Linked DNA regions of Mytilus edulis. The protein of the gene in region 2 interacts with the protein of the main gene of each other region in a pairwise test. Links are inferred from orthologs where the notes say so. Each region holds a gene or a part of one and is shown on either strand. Other genes may lie near its edges. The genes, in order: elongation factor 1-gamma-like, Golgi to ER traffic protein 4 homolog and ATPase ASNA1 homolog.

What was found.
Region 1: the proteins of Golgi to ER traffic protein 4 homolog (region 2) and elongation factor 1-gamma-like interact in a two-hybrid assay, tested with the Homo sapiens proteins (2 studies listed by BioGRID and IntAct, with this or other methods). The link is inferred for Mytilus edulis from reciprocal best matches to the Homo sapiens genes GET4 and EEF1G.
Region 3: the proteins of Golgi to ER traffic protein 4 homolog (region 2) and ATPase ASNA1 homolog interact in binary tests that used the Homo sapiens proteins (3 or more experiments, as listed by UniProt). The link is inferred for Mytilus edulis from reciprocal best matches to the Homo sapiens genes GET4 and GET3.

Annotation. Positions count from the first base shown.
Region 1 is NC_092346.1:58,349,884-58,357,263, forward strand, and holds the start of elongation factor 1-gamma-like, read right to left. Parts: upstream 3,001-7,380; 5' UTR 2,894-3,000; coding exon 2,882-2,893; intron 2,759-2,881; coding exon 2,612-2,758; intron 221-2,611; coding exon 157-220; intron 1-156. Other genes in the region: calcineurin subunit B type 1, read left to right, coding at 3,049-3,051, 5,092-5,131, 7,201-7,377. UniProt on the Homo sapiens protein: Probably plays a role in anchoring the complex to other cellular components.
Region 2 is NC_092352.1:43,454,771-43,462,848, reverse strand, and holds the start of Golgi to ER traffic protein 4 homolog, read right to left. Parts: upstream 3,012-8,078; 5' UTR 3,009-3,011; coding exon 2,896-3,008; intron 1-2,895. Other genes in the region: uncharacterized protein, read left to right, coding at 3,412-4,059, 4,750-5,115. UniProt on the Homo sapiens protein: As part of a cytosolic protein quality control complex, the BAG6/BAT3 complex, maintains misfolded and hydrophobic patches-containing proteins in a soluble state and participates in their proper delivery to the endoplasmic reticulum or alternatively can promote their sorting to the proteasome where they undergo degradation.
Region 3 is NC_092344.1:91,836,745-91,843,837, reverse strand, and holds the start of ATPase ASNA1 homolog, read left to right. Parts: upstream 1-3,997; 5' UTR 3,998-4,047; coding exon 4,048-4,178; intron 4,179-7,093.

The DNA.
Region 1 (7,380 bases), on a different chromosome or scaffold from region 2:
AAATCCTGGGGAGAACACTGGCTTACATTTACATGATGTAGTACATGCATATTGCTCTTTTTTTGTGGTCCGACTTAACGTAGCATGTGCATGTCTAATTGTATGCATACATTTTGTAATTCATGCGAGTAAAAATAAAATATATAAAGTACATACGAAAGTGTGCAATGGCATTGCTTTCAAATATGCAATCTCCTCCAGCTGTAACAAATGCTGGAACCTGAAAAATAAAATGACATACATTTTAAAACTTACAAATACATACATTAGATCCATCTTACTTAATTTATAATCAAGTGAAAATTAATATTTTCCATTGCCACTCTCCATAATAATCATTAAGATCTAAATCTTAAATAGGGATGTGAACATTGGCATTATTGATAAAAGTTGGTTATTTTTTCTTTTTTACATTAAATCCTATGAAGACAAGAGAAAGTAAATATACATCATGATCATTCTGGACCATAATATACTGCATGTAGTTATTCTGAATATGATCACGCCTAAATTTATTAACCTGGTCATCTGATCAGAACAAACCTTGCTCTTCCTTCAGTTCTTACACATTTGCCATATGAACCAGCAAACATGCCTTGAAGGTTGCATCTTATTGGAAGACATAATTTCCTAAATGATTATTATTCTGAATGTTCATTAAGCTAGTAACAATGGATTAATGTGTTGACCGCCATTATGACACTGCCATACATCTTTACTTCTTTTTAATTTGCTATCAAGAACCCAATATTACCACACTATAATGATTATGAATTTTAATGTCCAGTGGAAAATATTACAAGCACATCAAGAGAAAATGTATAGCAATTTGTGTTCTGTCGTGACTTTATTCAACAATTACTGTATTAGTTTTAACTTGTTTTCCAAATTTTGTCTTATCTTATGTATTTGTATGTAATGTGATGAAAACTCTTTATACTAGGACCATCCGAGTGTAATTGTAAAAAAAATATTCTGTTTGACTCCTGCTATGGACTAAACCAACACATTAAGCTTTATTTTTTGTGTACTTAGATGAGTTTGCCAGACGTCACCCTACCTAGACAAATCACTGACTCTTAGTCTTACATGCACATTTTCTTATCCAGAATGCCAATGGGTCGATGTATAGGATAAGTAAATCACATACCCGTAGCCAGGGGGGTTCGAGGGTTGCGGACGAACTCCTCCCCCCTTGAAAACAAATTGTGACTGTTAAAGTAGAGTTCCCGAGTCCAAATACCCCTCCCCCCCTCCTTGGAAATTCCTGGTCTGAATCAGCAGCAAAAAACACAGAAAGTCATTCAGACACAAACTTGAACAAATAAGGAAGAAGGGGAGTTGGTATAACTGTCATTGAATCTGCCAAGGGATACTAAATGTCTATGTACCGCCATCTGACATTGCCCTTTAACAAATATCTGACAAGTTCATGTTTTGCCATGTAGATAAAATTTCTCAGCAAGAGACAATGCAAGAAAGATGAAAGTTTAACCACTAATTCAATTATGTGACAACTTTATTTGAATACATGTACATGTAGTTATTCTGAATATGAAAAAGTTGAATGGTATCAATCCTTCATGTGATCAGAAAAAAACCTTTCTCTGCCTTCAGTTCTTACACATTTGCCATTAAAAACCAGCAAACATGCCTTTGATGAAGGTTCTACATTTTTTTATCATTCAAGCAAACAAAAAGATTATGAACTTTCAATAAGAATATCAAATATTTGTCACTATATAGCAAAATACTAGCAACAATTGATCAATCATGTGTTGACCCGACTGTTACGTGTAAGCAGTACAATACACCTTATACAAGTTATAGCTACATTGTATTTGTCCATGGTTCCATGAAATTTTTAGGTCATTATACAAATATATATGTCGCCTAAATGGAAAAGATTGTTGTATGACATCAATAGTTCAAGCCAGACAAATTCTCTAGGTCAGCTTGGAATATAGATAAGGTGTTTATGGGCACCATTCATGTAAAATTTCTGACGTCACAATGGAAAAATGATTGTTGACAATTTGTTGTACGCCAATAACAGTTCAAGGCAAAATGGGGCAGATTCTCAGGTCAATAGGGACAGATTTTCAAATAGCAATACACTTTTCTATTGTGGTGTCAGATTTTGTGGGAACCTATGTGGTATACAGTAATGGCGGTCAATTAGCGATAAGGTGTTTAAGGTGACATACAATATTATGTGTACAGCTCTTGAAATTACTTCTACTTCTATGTGGTTAATCTGCAGTCAACGCAGATACACTGTGCATGTGTGTCAACCAGTACAAGCCAAGTTAAAAATAACAAAAGCTTTTGAGTATTTAGAGGAACAAAAACAAATAAAAATTAATTTACAAAAAGAGGAAAATCAATAAAAATAATTTTGATGTTAATTTTTATGCAAAGAACTGGCTCGTTAGTGGACAGTATCATATATATGCATATCAGATGTTTGTTAATTCTACAAATGTACCATCATCTGCTAGTCAAAATCCGTAAAAATATTGTCTGCATTTTCAGAGTTTATTTCTCGACACATATGTATCTTACCCATATCAATGTTTCGATGTGTGACCACATTTAAAAAGCGACTTACTTTTCCAAGCGGAAATTTAGACAAGAAATCTGGAGTTTGGTTGGTTTCACCGAACTTGAAACTTGCAAGCTTGATTGTTGTACGGCTGTACTCCGCTGCAATTTGAGCTTTGAAAGCTCTGAAGTTGTCAGGGTATGTGTAAAGAGTCTACAAAATTAAAAAAAGACAAAGATTATTTATTGTTTTTCAGTTTTCCAGAGGTAAATTTATTGTTTGAGGAAAGATTGCGTTGATTCTATATTGATTGTCACGTATGTCAATGTGTAGTACCCCTGTAGCCATTGCACCGGTAAAAAAGGAAGTTACATTTGAACTTTCCGGTATGTCATGCGCTTTTCGATAGAATTGCTTCAAGTGCCCGGATGTTTCGTCTAGAGTTGTCAATATCGAACTAAAATATTTAATTGATCGAAACAGAAATACAGTTTTAGTTGAAAATGGTAACATAAGTGCCTCATTGAAACATATTTGATGTTGCATATTTGTTATGATATGATTTTTGTATCCTACACTCTAAAATACAATAATTTTGGTTCATTTGTACCAATTTTATGTCCATGATTCTGAAACTGGACAGGGAAAAAGGGGGAAATTTTGGGTACAACCTCATCGATGTCAAATACTCGATGCTTCAACTACATTTTCTAAGAAACTATTACTTCTGTATACGTGAATTAATCAATTGCAAAAAGAAAGATTTTCTAACAGACAACACATTTACAGCATAATAATTAATTTAATATCAATAAATGTCCTTATAAGGTCTACATCGTAGGTTGATTTATCAGCACATTGCATAAAGACACTTAATAAAAAGTAACAATCTGAGAGTCCAGTAATCAAAAATTAAATTTGTGCAAAAATAAAAAAAAATAACATTTACATCAATACATGTCTTACATGTATATACAAACAAGGTACGTAGATATCTAAATATACTGGCTTTGGATCAGTATTTTAAACCAATCCTTTTAAACTGATCCAAAGAATTATAAACACTAATGATGTTTTGTGGAAGTAAATTTCAGAGTACAACTGAGTATGGAAAAAAGCTGTACTGAAAGTAATCTGTTCTGGTGCTGAAAGTTTGAGATTGTATAGTGAGGGTGGTAAAGGGTTATTTTCGTGCAACGTTTTCCGCCTTTTTAATTCACGTGTTTTCGTGTTTTGAAGTTTTATTTCTCGTTTTCTCGTGTTTGGCTCGACGTGCGTGCCTCGTGTTCTCCTTTATTTATTTTCCGTGTTTCGTGTCATTACTCTTAATTTCTCGTGCTTGTCCTGCAATTGATTAAGAGTACGGCCGGGATTAAATTCAAAGCCCCGGTCAGTCTGGAGATTGATTTAAATTATGTGTTCCCATGCAGAATATTTAAAATTGCTATAATTAATTATTATGATCTATTATGAATAATATTTTTCTTTCAAATCAGTTGCGACTAGCCGACGCTAAAATGTGACTGTAGGGTCATCATGTCCATCATATATAATGGCTAGATGATCTCCAAGAACGGCTGATTAATAAATTATTTTACTTTTTACATAAATTTTTACTATTTTATTTCTCGTGCTTCGTTTTTTCCGATTTTTATTTTCCGTGCAACGTTTTTGCCATTTTTATTTCACCTGTTTCCGTGTTGAGGGCCCCCCTTTACCACCCTCTATAGTGAGTCTGGTGTTTTTATCTGGCTGTGGTGTGAGGTAAAGATTTGAATCGACTGCTATAAGTTGGTGTGTGATCTCAGACATTATAGTTACTTGATTAATGTTTCTGCGAGTTTCTAGTGACTTCCATTTAAGATCGTCAATCATGGAAGTGGCACTACTGGTGTTATGGTACTTGTTGGTGACGTAATGTGGTCCTTCTTCATGTTCTTTGTACCTTTTCAATATTATTTTTTTTGTTTTTGGGTGTTAAAGGGGACCAAACTGAAGAGCCGTATTAGAAGTTTTATCGTACCATTGTTTTTGCGAGCCAAACTTTTTGTTTCTTCCTGATTAATTTTCAAGTTTCTTCGTAAAAAGCCTAACATCTTGTTTGCTTTAGCTGTGATGTTGTTGGTATGGGTATCCATAATATCCCATGACATATTGTTGGATACATCTGTTTGGCAATACATGACATCGATTCAAATTGGACACGCTAAGAGTATCACAATATTGGATGTAGATTTGAGAATGTGGAGTCAGATTAGAACGTTGATTTGAGGAACCGGCGTCGATTCTTTCAAATACATATCAAGTAAATATTGCTATGACATATGTTTATGTTATTATAAAATCAGCTGCCAGTCTCAAGTCATTATAATATATACATATTTTGTTTAAGGGCCAGATAAAGCCTGCCTCTAGATGTGGGATTTTCTCACTGTGTGGAATACCCATTGGTGGCTTTTGCTGTTTTCTGCTCTTTGGGCAGGTTATCTCTTTGTGTGACACATTCCCAATTCTCAATTTTAACTTATTGCTTTTATCTGTTTTAGGGAAATGAAGCATCACTTCCTTTGGAATTATGTTCAAACTGTAAGTAGATTTAAATATGATTTGATTGATACTTGCGAATAAAAAGTTTTTATGTTATTTTGAAAAATTTCAGATGATATGCCTTAAATGAATTTCAAACTAATTTTCACAATGTTGCCTTTTATCTTAAGAATTATATTTGAAATTTGAAAAGTTAAAAATGAACAACAATACAGATGATACAAGATTTACTTAACGGCCAATAGCAGTAAAAACTACTATTTAATTTTACTACATCTTATTAATATGGAAATTTAGATTCAACTTTTTTTATTTGTCTGCTGTTTGTTTTCGTCAATGTGTAAAGCTTTTGTCCTCTGTTTGATTTAGTCAATGTTTAAAGCTTTGAAAGTATGACATTTAATTATTGTTCAGCCACATTTTAAGTTCAAATGCTTTATTTAGAAATTGATGATTTTATAATTATCAAACATTTGTTGCAGTCTTTCATCAAAGGCTACTATATATAGCTATATTTACTGAAGTTAAATTCTTGGAATTTTAGGGGCCAATTTTGACCATTTGTAACATTCTCCAAATGACCTTCACCATGCCCACAAATATAATTGAGGCAGAGATGGGTCCGATTACTTTCAATGTAATTGATTAAATTACAATTACTTTGTCATTTGTGCGATTAAATTAAATTAACGATTACATCATTTCTGAAAGTGTCTGATTAAATTAATGATACATTGGCAAAGTAATTATGATTACATCTGATTACAATGAATTAAAAAAAACCTTTTGAATGATGTGAATGAATAAAAGTTCAATAGCATTTAATAGTTTTTATAGAATTTTTAGAAAGGATTAGGTTTGATATATTATAAAATGATAACTTTAAACCTCATCTATTTAATAAACCACGAAAGTTCACTACATACATACATTTATACATGAACATTGTGTCTATGGTTTGACCCATTACCTTCATCAAGATTGATCTCTGAATTATTTTGACTTCAATTGAATAAAGCTTTATAAAGAGTTTGCTGCTTGTCTTCTAACCTCTTCCAGACTTTATTTGTATTTCAAGGTGCAGTTTTATAGAATTGTTTAATTAAATTGTAAACAAAATTCAAATACTAAAAATCATTGCATTTTACATGTCCAGTCCAAATACATACAAAATTTTGCTTATTTTAAACAAGATTTTTTTCCCCAACTTTTAATTTAGTTTGTGTTAATTAGAGAAATTTTGAATGTCTGATTAATCTTTTATCATATGTATTGTCCTGCAGCTATACTCATTTGGTAATTTCAATAAAAACAAACCTTAATTGGTTATCTACCTGTCAATTCAAAGTTGACAAAAATATTACCAAAAGATAATAATTTAGGGTTAAAGATAATTATCACTAGAATATAACAGTTATTATCAAATATGTATATGTACATCTTTAAATTGTCAATATATGTACAATATTTTTTACTAAGGCCAAAGACATATAATTGTATTTATATGTCTCTTAGGATAATGGGGGCTTTTATATACTGTAACAGTTTATTTTTAACTGAAGTATACAAATCAATCAACATGCTTAATAAAGTAAACCAAACTATCTTAACATATTAAATATTTATCAAATAAGAATATTAAAAATGTTAATTTCTTGACCATCAACATTGTAATCATAATGTAATCAAAAAGTAATCAGGATTACAGGGTATTTTGAAAAGTAATTGATTAAATTAAATTACATGTAATCAGATTTTTGGCTGATTAAAATGATTACTTGAAAAATTGTATTCAATTACAGCTGATTAACGATTACAATTACCCCAAGTCTGAATTGAGGTCCTGATCTTGAGGACTTGGGGTACAGATAAATTACATGTATTTAAATCAAATATCTGGTTGGAGGTATGAAAGCAAATTTCTTATAAATTTTCTTGCTTCATTATACAATACTTCATAATACAATTAGTTTTTGAAGTAACTTTACATGTGAAAATATATAAAAAATGTTTGTATTAATTGTTGGACCCTTTCTTGAAATATTTTGTTTAGGGTGATGCAAGTGCAAAGTCTATATAATAATATAATTTTGATTTATATTTTTCAGTTGATGCAGATGAAATTAAAAGACTTGGTAAGCGGTTTCGTAAATTAGATTTGGACAACTCTGGATCACTGAGTGTAGATGAGTTTATGTCATTACCAGAATTACAACAGAATCCTTTAGTACAACGAGTAATAGATATATTTGACACAGATGGTAATGGAGAAGTAGATTTTAAAGGTA
Region 2 (8,078 bases):
ACGTGACACTCCCTTTACACGAGGCATCGGATTTAACGTCCCAATTCTGACCGGATGTGACTGCGAACTTGATACATCCCGCACAGCCAAACGGACGCCCCGCTTCGTTTTACTGCCGGTCGGGGGAGGACCAAGTGACCATATTTCGGTTCCCCAGTCACCCTTGGGAAACTTTAAATTAGAAACAACAGAAATCCATATACATGTATGTGATCAAACTTATCGACATGTATCCTCACAACCTGACACTTTTTTACGATCTCGCACTCAGTTTCTTCCTTATAGTTTGATATGAAAACAGAGTTTTTGTGTAAAAGAAAAACCTTAAAAAAAAAACCCCAGAAAACCACGCAAAACTGAGTCCTCTAAACGTGTTGACAGTCTTTTAAGTTGTGCATATTAATGTGAGTAATCATTTATCCATGCATAACCAAGTACTTATTGAAGTCAACACCTGTGCAATTAAGTAAAACAGTTACTGAAAAATTAGAATTTGAACTTGCTGTCAGTTCCTTAATAACGATTGTTAGTGATGTGATTTGTTCTTCCATAAGAAAAAGCCTTTCTCATGTAGCACATCCTCTATATATACCGATCAATTTTACCCAAGATTGTCTCTCATGCTTACCAAACAACTGCCAAACTCCAGAACTAACTAGATAGTGTGACACCTTACAATTCAGACACAGTGGGGCCAAGGGATATGAAATATAGAGTTTAGCTCTGAACTCAATTTAGGGGATGGCTCATCTGCTGCAGGAAAATTGAAGTCTATGTTAAGACTTTCAGAATTACACCAAGGTGTGTCTGAAAATATCAAGGATACATTAAAAGAAGAACAATTACGTCACCCTGCCACCAGTGCTCTTATGAGCTATGTCCTCGTTTTGGTATTTCTATGGAAATGATGCCCGCATAGCTTGTTAATAGTTATAGGAAGATGTGGTATGAGTGCCAATGATACAACACACCATCCAAGTCACAATTTATAAAAGTAAACCATTATAGGTCACGGTCCGGTCTTCAACACGGAGCCTAGGCTCAAAAGTCCATTGTTAGTTAATTGATGAAAAATAACACAAAGGCGCTTCTGAACCGTATATTGTCCCTAAAGATAACAAAAATTCGTAAATGTATGGCTATTATAAAATCAATCGTTTCTATTGCAACATTCGCACCATTACATTTGGGCTTGACAGTGCAGATACATCATGCATATGAATATGGGAATATGGGTCAGGAACATTGATCGAAACTTTGTACTCACATTTCTTTTGTGTTTCCTATGCAAAGGTTACACTATAACTGACGAGTTTGACCGAATCATGACGGTATTTACGCTCCAAATAGCATTTGTACTCAAAAACTGTGTTTGCTTTGCACAAACTCTGTCCTGCGCCGAATTTGTCCTTATAAAAAAAGGGAAGTGTCTTGTAATGCTCATACGCGTACTGAATCCGCATATGATGACTACGAGATTGATTCATGTCCCTATTTTTTGAATACTTGAGCTATTGTGTGTCGCTTTTAAAAGTTATATAAGGATCATGACTGATTTTAAATTACAACATTAGAAAATTGGCATTGCATTGTATAATTTTTCCAAACTGACTTTGTTTTACACTCAATTTTTTTTTAAACCTCGCATTCGCCTCGGGTGACTATAGTATATTTTGTGTTATAACTGCTCTGTCCAGACTTTGCAAATACACAATATGTATTTATCTATAACTAGATACTAATTTTCACAAAATACACAACCTTTAAGATGCAAAATTAAAAACAATGTTTCAGCGCTTGGATTTAGTTTTTTTCAAAGATAGAAAAAATATTAAAATAATTTGATAAACTGGTGTTTTGTACTTTAGAAAATAATTCTGTAATATACTATAGCGGAATACTATACACAATATGAAAGTTTATGGATGTGAAAAGGTCAAGGCCACTTCTTCTTTTGCTATGTCTTAAATGGAAAAAAATCAGAAGGTTCCAAATCAACGCCATTTTGTAATGGCAGCTCTTCGTATAAGTAGTAAAATTTGTCGTTTTAGCATCGTTTATAGCATATGCTTATGATTGAATCGTTTTTGTAGCATTCTATTGAATAAATATCAGAATATTTCTCCTTTTTGTCCTTGTGGTTGAAATATTGATATTTTTTTGTCTGACCTTTGACCTCAATTTCACAAAACTGAGACCACTCTGGATTTTTACGACCCAACTTTTCTTATTGTACACGTTTTCCTCTTTCCATCGATATATAATTTAGGTGTGTGTTCTTCCGGACCATTAAAGTTTTAAAAAATGAACTCTGGTTGCAGTACTATAAAAGAAAGTGTACATTTTAAACACCTTATTGCTATTTACTGCTGACACGTGAATCTCTGCCACTTGAACTATTGATGTCATACAACAATCACTTTTCCTTTGAGGTGTCAGAAATTTTGTAGTATGAAGTCAACACTTTACTGCAACCTGTGTGATGTCCAGCAATGGTGGTAACAATAAGATGTATTGACATGCACCAAAACTTACCACTAACAGCATTAGGCAACAATTTTTTTCTGTTATTCTTCATATTACCACCCTCATACTCATTGACCAGATGACAATCTAAAACAAAATTCCTGACCCCCAGTGACAGTGTATTCATGACCTTTTACTTTAACATGTTTTTTTTAATAAAGTCATTATTAGACAGCATAACCTCATAAATTCCTATTTTATATATGAATACTAAAATCAAACAGGATGCCAAATATCATGAATATTGGCAAATTATTGGGAATCCCCTAATAAAAAAAAAAATAAAAATTTCAGTTGCACATATGTTCCGTTCATTAGTTGGACGGTATACTTTGCTGAAAGCACATGTTCCATTGTACTTTTCTGTACCTGAAATACAGAGTCCGGTACATTTGATGAGCTTCGTAAAAATTGCCGGCGTCCACACATGATTGACATTTTCTTAGAACTCTGTCAACACCACCGTTTCTAGAAGCTGCCATTTTTTTTACTCTTCGTCGAAATTTGCAAAACGAAACTATTATCTATGTACATTATTCTCATCAAATTACATTGTTTGAAAAAAAAATGAAGTTTTGTTATTTAATGATATTTTAATACACATTTTAATAAGTACATTTCATTTTTACAACAATATATTTGAGAAAAAAAATGTTTCGTTTTGTAAAATCTTTTAACACGTCGACTTCCTTATTTGTAAGCACAACAACACAAAGAGCTCGTCTTTACATGACATAACAAGACATAAAGGTTAATACTTAAAAGAATTTAGACATTTTAACCCTTCCCTTATCTCTCCTTTATTACTTATTTATATTTTCCCAACAGTCAAGTAATCTTTGTAATTAAAATTTTTGATGTGGGCGAGGTTTACAAGAGCAGTGCATGCATGCGTTAAAAGTTCAAGGGTCAAGTGGAATAAGGTGCAGAGCACCAAATTCCTTGACCTTTGTAGGGAAGCTGGGGAATTTGAGATACACGATGAAGTTATGTGCTGTTTTAAACTGTGGAAACTCAACTTATCACCTTCAAAAGTGGATGGGGGACTGGTGTCCAATACACCAATGCAACTATGGAACTTCAAGATGTGTTTGTGATCCTCCTTTCAAATTATTTCCATTTCCAACTGAGAGAAAAAATCCTAAGGGGAGACAAGAGTGGATAAACTTAATCAACAGGACAGATCCTGAAACTGGAGAATGTTGGGCTCCAAAAAGTCACAGTAGGGTTTGTTCAAAACATTTTCCTGATGGGAGACCTACACATGAAAATGCTAACCCTATAAACAATTTGATTCTGGAACCAGTAGAGAAACCCAAAAGAGGAAGATCAAGCCAAATGAAAAGAAAACTTGAAGTGCCAAAGTTTATTTCTATATCAGAAAATGTAATTGATGCAGATGCTTGTGGATCTGAATCAGATAGCATGGAATTAATTGAATCTCAAAATGGAAATGAATGCAATATCTCAAAAAATAACTCAGAATCTCATCCTTCAAAAGAAACAGTTCAAAATTTAGGCATCAGTAGAGCTGTAAGTTCAACTTGTTAACATGATTAAGCATGTGCTCATTTAGATTATACATGAATGCTGATTTTATAGAAATATATATACATTTTACATTTGTAATTGCACATAAATATATTTGTATGTTATTGTAATGATAAACATTCAAATGTATGTCGTACATGTACAACTGTACGTATGTCTGTTCATGTCAGTAAATTACATAGCATAGATTAGAGCATGTTACGATACAAGAGTATGTTGAAGAAAAAAATACTAAAACTTATCTTGGGTCACAAAGGTGAACAGATGCAGATCCAAAATTTAATAACTAAGCCTTGTTATTACAGTTAAGTTTATCCCATAAAAGCGTCATCTCATTGATTTACCATGGTTAATCAAAAATGTATTGATTTAATTAACAAGTAGTTATCAAGGCTATGCATTTAGTTTCTGTGCAAAGTCTCAAGAGTTCCCTAGAGCCCATTATAAAATAAAATCTTTTTGATTTATTTTACAAATAACAAACATACGTTATTACAGATTTATAAAATTTCAGGAATAAAGAGTAGACAACTCATGAAAGTATCTGTAATAACACACACAAGTTATTTTCTGTAATAACCCTATAAAGTTGTATCTCTGACCATGCTGACTGGTATATAATAAGATCAAAAACAATCTCATAGTTTAACCATATTTATTTTTATTTTGCAGAAGGCCATGGAGGAAGATAGCAACTCTCCTGCTGTGAGTAATCCAGGGACCCCTAGATCTGAACAGGAAGTCAGAGCCACACCCCCTCCTCAGAAAATGATGGGACAAGCTATGAATCCCTACCAACAACAGCTACAGCAACAACATATGTTAGCACAAATGCAGGGATCACAGTTTCCGCTAGGACATCAATCTCAAAGCAAATACACACAATTATTAGCAGTGATCGAGGACATGGGTAAAGACATTCGACCAACATATTCTGGAAGTAAAATGTCTGCAGAAAGATTAAAGCGGGGAATAGTTCATGCTAGGATTTTAGTGAGAGAATGCTTGATGGAATGTGAAAGAAGTGCAAGGAATTAAATTAGAATCTTGATTATAAAAAGAAGATTATAGTATTACTTGTTCATACATCATTTTTATGCATTGTATAAAATTGACATAGTAAAATAAATCAAAATACAGAGCTATATAAGACTATCATCGAAATCATTTCATTCATCACTTGTTCACTCATGGCTTTAATTTTATGTATATGTCAAAGATATAAATCTTTTGTATGAATTCAATGAAATTATGAGCAAGATTGAAAATTGATATTATATTTATGACCAATAAGATTACAAATTAATCTAATACTTATCATTTTTTTCTAATCATAAAGTTTGTGCTGAAACAATAATAATACAGGTTTTCTATTTTTAGCAATTGATCCTGTTTTGAAAGTTGATATGAACATGTTATTATATGAGCATTTTAAAGGTTGTGTGTTCTACAGCATGTTAGGTGTTATTCGTGTACATGTGCAAGACATAAAAAGCAAAATGTACATTGTAACATTATTTATATATGCAAGTTTTTTGAAAATCTGTTTTGTTGGAGGAAATTTTTTGGGGGTGAAATTACATGTATATCCTCTTGCTTTATAATTTTAAATAATATATGTCTACAAATCATGCACATCTGGTTAATATTTATTTTTAAAGATACATTTACAGGTATAATCATGTTGTTAAAAATAGAAGTTCAGAAGATCAATCCTAACTTATCTAAGCTTTGTCTACCATCATTTACAATGTAGCTATAGGGCATAACTTGAAAAAGATGAACACATTTTTAAGTCTACAATATCTGGAAGAATCTTATTAATGTAATAGATTATCTCCCCTTTTCTCTCTGCCAAAAAAAATTAGTTGGAAATGTAATTAAATATTCACATTGTTTTGCAGTTCAAATATTTTCTTCAGAGTTTTGTCCCTTGGTTTTGCTTCTTGAGTTTTAAAAGAACATTGGATATAGTTAGAAAAAAAATTTCAGAGCATTTCCAATTTATTTTTCTTGATGATTATAGAATATTATATTTATAAGGAAATTTGGTATATGGAATATAGAAAACCCTATCAAGAAAATAATGTTCATTTTAATATCCAAAATGTAATATTCCTGATTTTGTTAAATTTTATGTTTAGCAGTTTTAAATTTACTGAAAGGAGAAATGGTAATTTTAAACTATGGGCTCCAATTTCAATGACTTTGCATAAAGCCTGTAGGGAAGACACTGACTTCAATTTTATGAAAACAATAATTTAATTTTGAAAATGAGCTAGATAATGATTTTGCTTATGGTATATAGAGTAAGACAACTGAAGTATTATGTAAGTAATGTTGTACATTTTTTTAATCATGATACATTAAATATTATTAAAAAATCCTCTGGAAGGAAACATGTTGAAATGATATTACTGTAAATTAAATAAAAGAAATAGAAGTAAATTGGTTTTTTTCTTGGCATCTATATATTAGAAGATGTGGTATGAGTGCCAATGAGACAACTCTCCATCCAAGTCACAATTTGTATAACTAAACCATTTTAGGTCAATGTATGGCCTTCCATACAGATCCTTGGCTCATACTGAACAGCAAACTATCAGCTGTTTGTTGCATAGTACATATCCCTATCTACATCTATACCTTCAATTGTGACTGTTTGTACGACATGTATTACAAGTACAATAAAGTATTGGTATATTGTATAGAAACCTTAACTTGGAAAAAAATATTTACATGACAGTATCGGTCAATAATTAGTTAACTTGAAATTTTAATCATTCAGAATGACTAAATATTTAGTGTAACAAATTATTTAGCTACATTTTTTGCACAATGCATTATTTAAATTTAGAGTACCAGTAGCTTAAATTTTACACAAAGCATCAATCTTCTTCCATCACAGTTAACCAACAATGAACTAAATTTCTGCATTGAGTATATTGAATATTCATGTTGTGGAATAGAATCAGTCTCTTTATAGTCTTGACAAGTTGAGAATTAATTCAACACTGAATACCAAATATCTTACACCAACACCTAAAAAACAAATGTGTAAGAGACTATGACCATACAATCTGTTTTATTCTGATAGAGAGTAGGTTGTAGCTGTTAAATATTAACCTGTATGGTTTGTTAAAAAGAGTGATTTGTGTGCAATAAACTTGTACATGTTTATTATCCATGACATTTGCTATTTATATACAGCAAAAATAATCAAATTATGGGTACAATTTATAATCAAACATAAACCTGCAGTATTGGGGAAACTCTTCTAGATACCATGTTTAAAAAGACAGCTATCAGATAAGTGAACTTGTACAGTCACTTTCAAAAAGGAAGGGTTGGGTTAATATATATTATTCTGATCTCTTAAAGATACAAAAAAGACATTCAAACTCACACAACCGAAAACAAGATGACAACACCATGTCAAAAAACAAAAAAAAGGAGCCAAAAAAGAACAATCATAGAAAATTAAAAATTGAACAACCCTAAATTTGAGCTAAATACATGTACTATGATTATTAACTTTTAATTTTGCAATCATTTGAATCATGAAAGCACACTACATACTGAAGCACTCACTAAAAGATTTGGAATATTTCTCAATGGCAACCAACTATTAGAAGTAGAATTACACTGGTTTACTGGCCCTGGAATCAAGGTCACGAAGAAGTAGGTCAATGGTAATCTGTATGTAGATGTATCAGGATTGGCACATGTTACTTCACTGAAGATTATGGTACTGAAATTGAATATTTTGCATATGTTTACATGTTAAAGTGTGTGGTTATGTCAGTAGGAGATTAATATAGCATTTGCAACAAAATATACTTTTGACCAGTTATGATGAGCCATATGTTAAACACATTTATATACAGGTTAAAATATTGCCATTTTCATTTTAACATATGCATAATAATACATATTAAAATAAGGATGTGGTATGATTGCTTATGAGACAACAATCAATCAAAGTTCAAATAAAGTGGATG
Region 3 (7,093 bases), on a different chromosome or scaffold from region 2:
CTTTTTGAGTTACGGCACTTTGTAACTAAAACAGGGGTGTGTTTTTTTCACATGTCGCACCGTATCTCAAAAACGATTCTTGATTATGGCTTAAAACTTTAAACACTTCTTAGTTATATTAATCTTAATATCTGTATACTTTTTGGTGATGATTCAAAATTTTATTTTTGAGTTATTGAGTATTTTGTAAAAAAGGGGGAGGTTTTTTTTACATGTCGCACCATATCTCAAAAGCGATTTATGATTATTGCTTAAAACTTTACACATGTCTTTGTTATATTAATCTTAAGATCTGTATACTTTTTGGTGATGATTCAAAATTTCATATTTGAGTTATTGAGTATTTTGTAAAAAAGGGGGAGGTTTTTTTTACATGTTGTGCTGTATCTCAAAAACAATTTATGATTATTGCTTAAAACTTTACACACTTCTTTGTTATATTAATCTAAAGATCTGTATACCTTTTGGTGATGATTCAAAACTTTATTTTGGAGTAATTGAGTATTTTGTTAAACAGGGGAGGGTTTTTTTACATATCGCCCCGTATCTCAAAAATAATTTATGATAATGGCTTAAAACTTTACACACTTCTTTGTTATATTAATCTAAAGATCTGTATACCTTTTGGTTTTGATTCAAAATTTTATTTTAGTGATATTTAGTTTTTTGTAAAAAAAAAAAAAACAGGGTTGGGGGTTTCACATGTCCCACCGTGTCTCAAAAACAATATATGGTTATTGCTTAAAACTTTCTCAGAAACTATTTATGATTATTGCATCAAACTTCCACACAAGACGTCGGGCGTATCATGCGCTCATGGCGCAGCTGTTTATTTTTACATGTTGTGTCGTATCTCAAAAACCATTTATGATTATTGCTTAAAACTTTACGCACTTCTTTGTTATATTAATCTAAAGATCTGTATACTTTTTGGTGATGATTCAAAACTTTATTTTGGAGTTATTGAGTATTTTGTTAAACAGGGGAGGGTTTTTTTTACATGTCGCGCCGTATCTCAAAAATAATTTTTGATTATTGCTTAAAACTTTACACACTTCTTTGTTATATTAATCTAAAGATCTATATACTTTTTGGTTTTGATTCAAAATTTTATTTTAGTGAAATTTAGTTTTTTGTAAAAAAAAACAGGGTTGGGGATTTCACATGTCCCCGCCGTGTCTCAAAAACAATATATGGTTATTGCTTAAAACTTTCTCAGAAACTATTTATGATTATTGCATAAAACTTCCACACAAGACGTCGGGCGTATCATGCGCTCATGTCGCAGCTGTTTATTCTAGTTTCAAGACAATAACTTATGTGTAATTGTATGGATCTCTCTGAAATTGTACCACAGTGTACCATATAACAAAGGGGAGGCTGTTCCTTCGGAATTGAGTTTAAGGGTTATTGCTCCAAGGGGGTTTCAAAAAGTTGGGGGGGGGGGGGATTTTTTGTTTACCATTTTTTGAAGGGCTTCCTTTTTTTTCAAAATTTTTCAAATTTCGAATTTTGAAAAGTTTGAAGAAGAAATCTTCAATTGCACATTAATTTTGTGACAAAAACCTATATTATGTCAAAAATTTGATCACAATTCAAATTCAGACAGAATCAAGCTTGAATATTGTGACCAAATTTGCCCCAACTGTTCAGGGTTCAACCACTGGGGTCGTATAAAGCTGCGCCCTGCGGAGCACCTGGTTTATATAAATATTGTTTTACAAACTTTTGAATTATTCAAAATACTAAGAATTTCCTAGCTCTTGGCACAGACAGTTTAAAATAGTCCTATTTAGTAAGACTTTATTATTTGATTTTTTACCAAGTCCTCAATGCCCTTAAAACACAATCTATATTCTCTACGATAACCTTGAATCATTCAAATAAAGTTCGATTAAAATTGGTTCAGTAGTTTCAGTCAGAAGATCTTACACTGAACCAATGGATAACGTAAGTCAAATATCGTCGGACAAGCTACTTAAATAACAGTTGGTAAGAAAATGTTGGGCCAACATTGGGCCAATAACACCAAAATGACAGTTGGTCGAAAGTCGTTGGGCCAACAAGGGCCAATAGTGTCAAAATAACTGTTGGCTGAGTTTTGTTGGGCCAACGTCGGTTTCTTGTTGTGCTGCCAACGCCAACTATTTACCAACTGTGCCAACCAATCACCAATGTTGGCCCAACAAAGTATTGCTATCTGGGAAATTATAAACCTGACAGACAAAATAATTATTGTTCGTGATCAATAATAAGCAGTGCCGAAGGAAAGATTTATTACTGAGAGGGGACACAATGTAAATTGAAATATAAACAAATTCAAGGATTATTGCATGTTTTTCTACGGGCCTGTCAAGTAGGCTAAGATGAAGCAATGCTCTTGACCTGTTAAAAGTGTATTTTATTAAATCATCTTGTTGTCAAGCCGTCAATATGATAATTAAAAGAGACGGCAATATATGCAGTGCGTGTTATACATCATATACCTTATATTTGATCATATTTTTTTTAAAAGACACGATATGATTGCTAACAAAAAATAAACGTGCGGAAACAACTGTATCAAGTGAATTTGGCTAAGTTTTGGTTATCAAATAACAATAACTGTGAACATCCATCAATGGAAGCACTAGGGCCCATTCAAGGCAGCATAACCAGCGGACACAGGGTCGGATCCAGTCATTATTAAAAAGGGGGTTCCATACAAAAGCATTAGTTGTATATATGTAGTCAAAATCACTGGAAAGAACTGATGAGAATTTGGACTTGTTACTTCAAGGAACTAGCACTTAAATCATGCAGAACAATACACATCAACACGTCATTGTTGAGAAACAAATGAAAACCTTGCTGTTGTTTGGAAATCACCGTTCTCATTCATTTAAAAGAATGTTTTCTTACTTTTTTTTTTAAAGATTAAAGAAAACTGGGGAATAAATTAGAGAATAATGCGTAAAAAATCACTTTTAAAGAATAGACTTATTTTTTGAAGATTAAAGAAAAAAGGGGTGAAAATTAAATGTTTACAGAATAACAGAACCCCAACCCCCCCATCCAGACCCTCATAAATAATATTGTAATTTTACACTACTACTTCAGGTTAGGGTGAAGGTTGGTGCTAGTAAAAACATTTAAACCCACTACATTTGTTTGCATCTTTCCTTAGTCAGGAACCTGTTGTTCAGTGGTTTTCGTTTGTTGGTGTGGTTAAAATGGACATCACAATCACTATAAATGTATAATTACAAATAGATATCACAATTATTATCCACCCTTTTTTTACTTTAAGCAGTTTTGTCAATTCAAAATAAGGGACAAAATGGGAATAGATAAAAATCTACATTTTGAAACAAGATGTGTAAAAAGTAAAATAACAAAGACACTGAACTCCAAGGAAAATTCAAAACCAAAAGTCCCTTATCAAATGCTCAAACACATCAAAGGAAAGGAAAACAACTGTCATATTCTTGACTTGGTACAAGCATTTCCTCATGTAAACCTGGTTTTATAGCTAGCTAAACACCTCACTTGTATGGCAGTTGCATACAATTCCATTGTATTATTTTTTTTTTTTTTAAATGTTCTGATCTTCAATTTAATGAAAAAAAATATTCCAAATCCAGATTTTCTCCATAACTTTAATATAGTGAAAAGTTTTGAGAGGAAAAAAAATGATTAATAGCGTTGAAATAAAAAATGTAATTTTTTGCGCAATTTTCTTTTTAATTGGACAAAAAACCTTGACCCCCGCTTGAAGTTCAATGGCTACGCCGTAATAGCTACGGAAAGAATGACATACAAGTTAAAAATAGGGGTACAGTAGTCAACATTACTTTTCTTTCATTTTGCACAGGAATGAACATTTGAATTATCTAGTCTGTTTGATTCTGAATATTTAAATTAATCAACAAATTTTGGGAGGAATGTCTACTCCTGAAAACTTGCAAAACGGTCATGGACGACCATTCTTAGGGACGAATCTGACTTGTTTGTCCGCTAGGAGTCTCCGGTCTCGAAACCGGAAGTAATACTTGGAATAACAAAAAAATGGCAAACTTAAAAGATCTAGATGACGAATTTGAACAGCTGGATCCTTCACTTAAAAATATAGTAGACCAAGCTTCCCTGAAATGGGTATTTGTCGGTGGAAAAGGTGGTGTGGGAAAAACGACAACAAGGTGATTACTACTATTTTTCTTTTATGGCGATCCGACACAGGCACTTGTTTCTGTCAATATAGGGTTTACTATCCATACCTGTACGAAACATACAGGCACTTGTTTTTCGTACGGGTATGGATAGTAAACCCCATATTGACAGAAACAGGTGCCTGTGATTGTAAATGAAAAAAATGAGTATTCAAATATATGTTGATTATCGTCGTGTCATATGTTTTCGTATGTCATATGTTTTCGTATCAACCACATTTCGTCGGTTTCGACTGCATACGCGTACATTGTGGCATGTTTTTCTGTTTCTATATTTAGAACAACAACACCACTACAACTTGATATATTTAAAACATATTCAACGTCGCTTTTTAAAGACGTTAGAACAAATTAAATAAAACTGACCTATTTAGCCATTTTTATTTAATGTCAAAAATACGCATCACTAGAATAGTTGTGGAAAAAAATTCTGAAGGGTTAAAATAAAGTCCAGATACGTTTTTTGCAAGTCAGACACCGGATCTTCAAGACGTATGACTGTCATGTGTTTTTTTGGCCGTTTTAATTACAAACCATCGAGTTAAAATTAGCAGGGTTCTTATATAAAATGGTTGTTCAAAATCTAACTATTCAATATTTCATTGACAATTTTTTTTATACATCCTTGATACATGAAGATGAAAACAGTCTTAACTTTTTATATTTAATCATAAATTTTGAAAACTGCATTTTATTTTAGAAAAAATAATGTATTTTGTACAAACCAGGTGCCAATCTGAAATTAATCAAAATCTAAAAATTTCATCACACGAAACACCAACCTTACACTTTTTACTAGTAATTTTTTGTACTGAAAAGTATTTAATAACTTTTTTAAGATTTAAGCGATCACCCGAACCACGACTTTAGAAAAAATGTATTTCCGGATTTTGTAGTCATTTCCTGTCCGTGTACTGATCCAATTTTATTTCATACGAAAACTTATGACGCCGTTTTTTTGACATACAAAAATCGCAAAGTAATCGGAAACAGTAAAAAATCGTAGAAATCATTGACAAAAAAACTAGATACCTAAAATCAATCTACAGGACATGCTTTTTAAATTTGAGTAAACACCTAAATAAAAACTCAACAGTAAAAACCGTAAGCAGTGAAAATTGTTATTAGTACGAAAACACATTACACGATGATATGTTTTATTACCGTACAAGTTTTCAAGGCTAGTAAAGTATAGTTTATCTATGTGTGATGGGATCACTACCTTTGGTATGTTAAGTATATACTTACCCATCAGCTTAGCTAGAGATGTACCTTTCATTTGCCTTTCTTTAGGTCAGTTGAGGGGGGTAGGGTCCTGATCGCAAAATCCTGGGCTTGAAAACAAATCCCGGTCCATTTGCACCCAATCCGGTTCGCACCCACTCAAGTTCATCCCTTTCTCTTTCGCGCCCATTCATGTACCCCCCTTTCACTTTGCACCTCAAGTCTATTCGCACCCTACGCAATAGCACCTTAAGTCTGTTCACGCCCAATAACTTGTAACTCCTGGATCAGTTCATTCCTATCAAACAGGAAACAACAGGTAGTATTGGAAGGTGCTAGATCTCAACAAGACGATGTTCTGTCAGGTGTGCCACAGGGCACAGTACTAGGTCCTTTATTGTTCCTAACATACACCAATGACATGCCCGGATATACTCAATCAGATGTCCGCCTCTTTGCTGATGACAGTCTACTATACAGGGAAATTAGTAACACCAAAGATACAGAACAACTTCAGAAAGACCTTGAAGCATTAGAAAGTTGGGAAAAAACATGGATGATGAGATTCAATCCAACAAAATGCAATATTATCCGCATACCACCAAAGAACAAAGAACCTATACAATACCCATACACTCTGCATGGACACATACTCGAACCAGTAGATAGTGCCAAGTACTTGGGAGTTTCAATATCAAACAACCTCTCATGGAACAAACATATCCAGAGTGTTACAGCAAAGGGTAACCGAACACTTGGGTTTGTCAAACGAAACCTTAAAGAATGTACCAGGAAAGTAAAGGCAGCTGGCTATACAACACTCGTGCGACCTGTCATAGAGTATGCTTCTACTATATGGGACCCAACCAACCAAGCAAGCATCAACACACTAGAACTTATACAGAGGAGAGCTGCTAGATTTGTCTATAATGACTACACATCACGCACACCAGGGTGCGTCACTACAATGTTAGAAGATCTTAAATGGGACACATTACAGACAAGACGCCGTGACAACAGGCTATGCATGCTCTATCGTATCCAGAATGAGCTGATAGACATCAACAAGAGTACTTACCTCAAAGGTGGCGACAGTAGAACTCGTGGAGGACACAAGTTTTACCAACAGAGGGTCACCAGTGATGTCTACAGGAACTCCTTCTTTCCAAGAACAATCATGGAATGGAATACATTACCTGCCAGGGTTGCTGAAGCGGGATCAGTTGAAGATTTTCGCTCAGGGCTACAGACAACACATTAATACCAGACTGGACGATTGTACATAATTTTAACCGTAACAACCTGATTTTATTGTAAATACTGTATATAGCCTTAGGGGACTAGATATGTGATGTCACCATGCGTAGTCCCGCAGAGTTTAAACGTTTCATTAAAGGAACCCAACTCTTATATGGAAGAAGAAGAAGAAGAAGAAGCAAGTTTTGGTAAGTGTATTGCTAAAAGTATTTTTTTTTCACTGTTTCTAAATAAATTGAGATTCTAATGACATTTTTTTTGTGTTGAATAAATGGTTAGCATGGTAAGTGTACATATTGCTATAAATATATATTTTCATTGTTTTTAGTATAATGAGATTCTGAAGATGTTTTTTTTCATGTTTTTGGTGTTGAATAAATGGTTAGCATGGTAATGTATATATG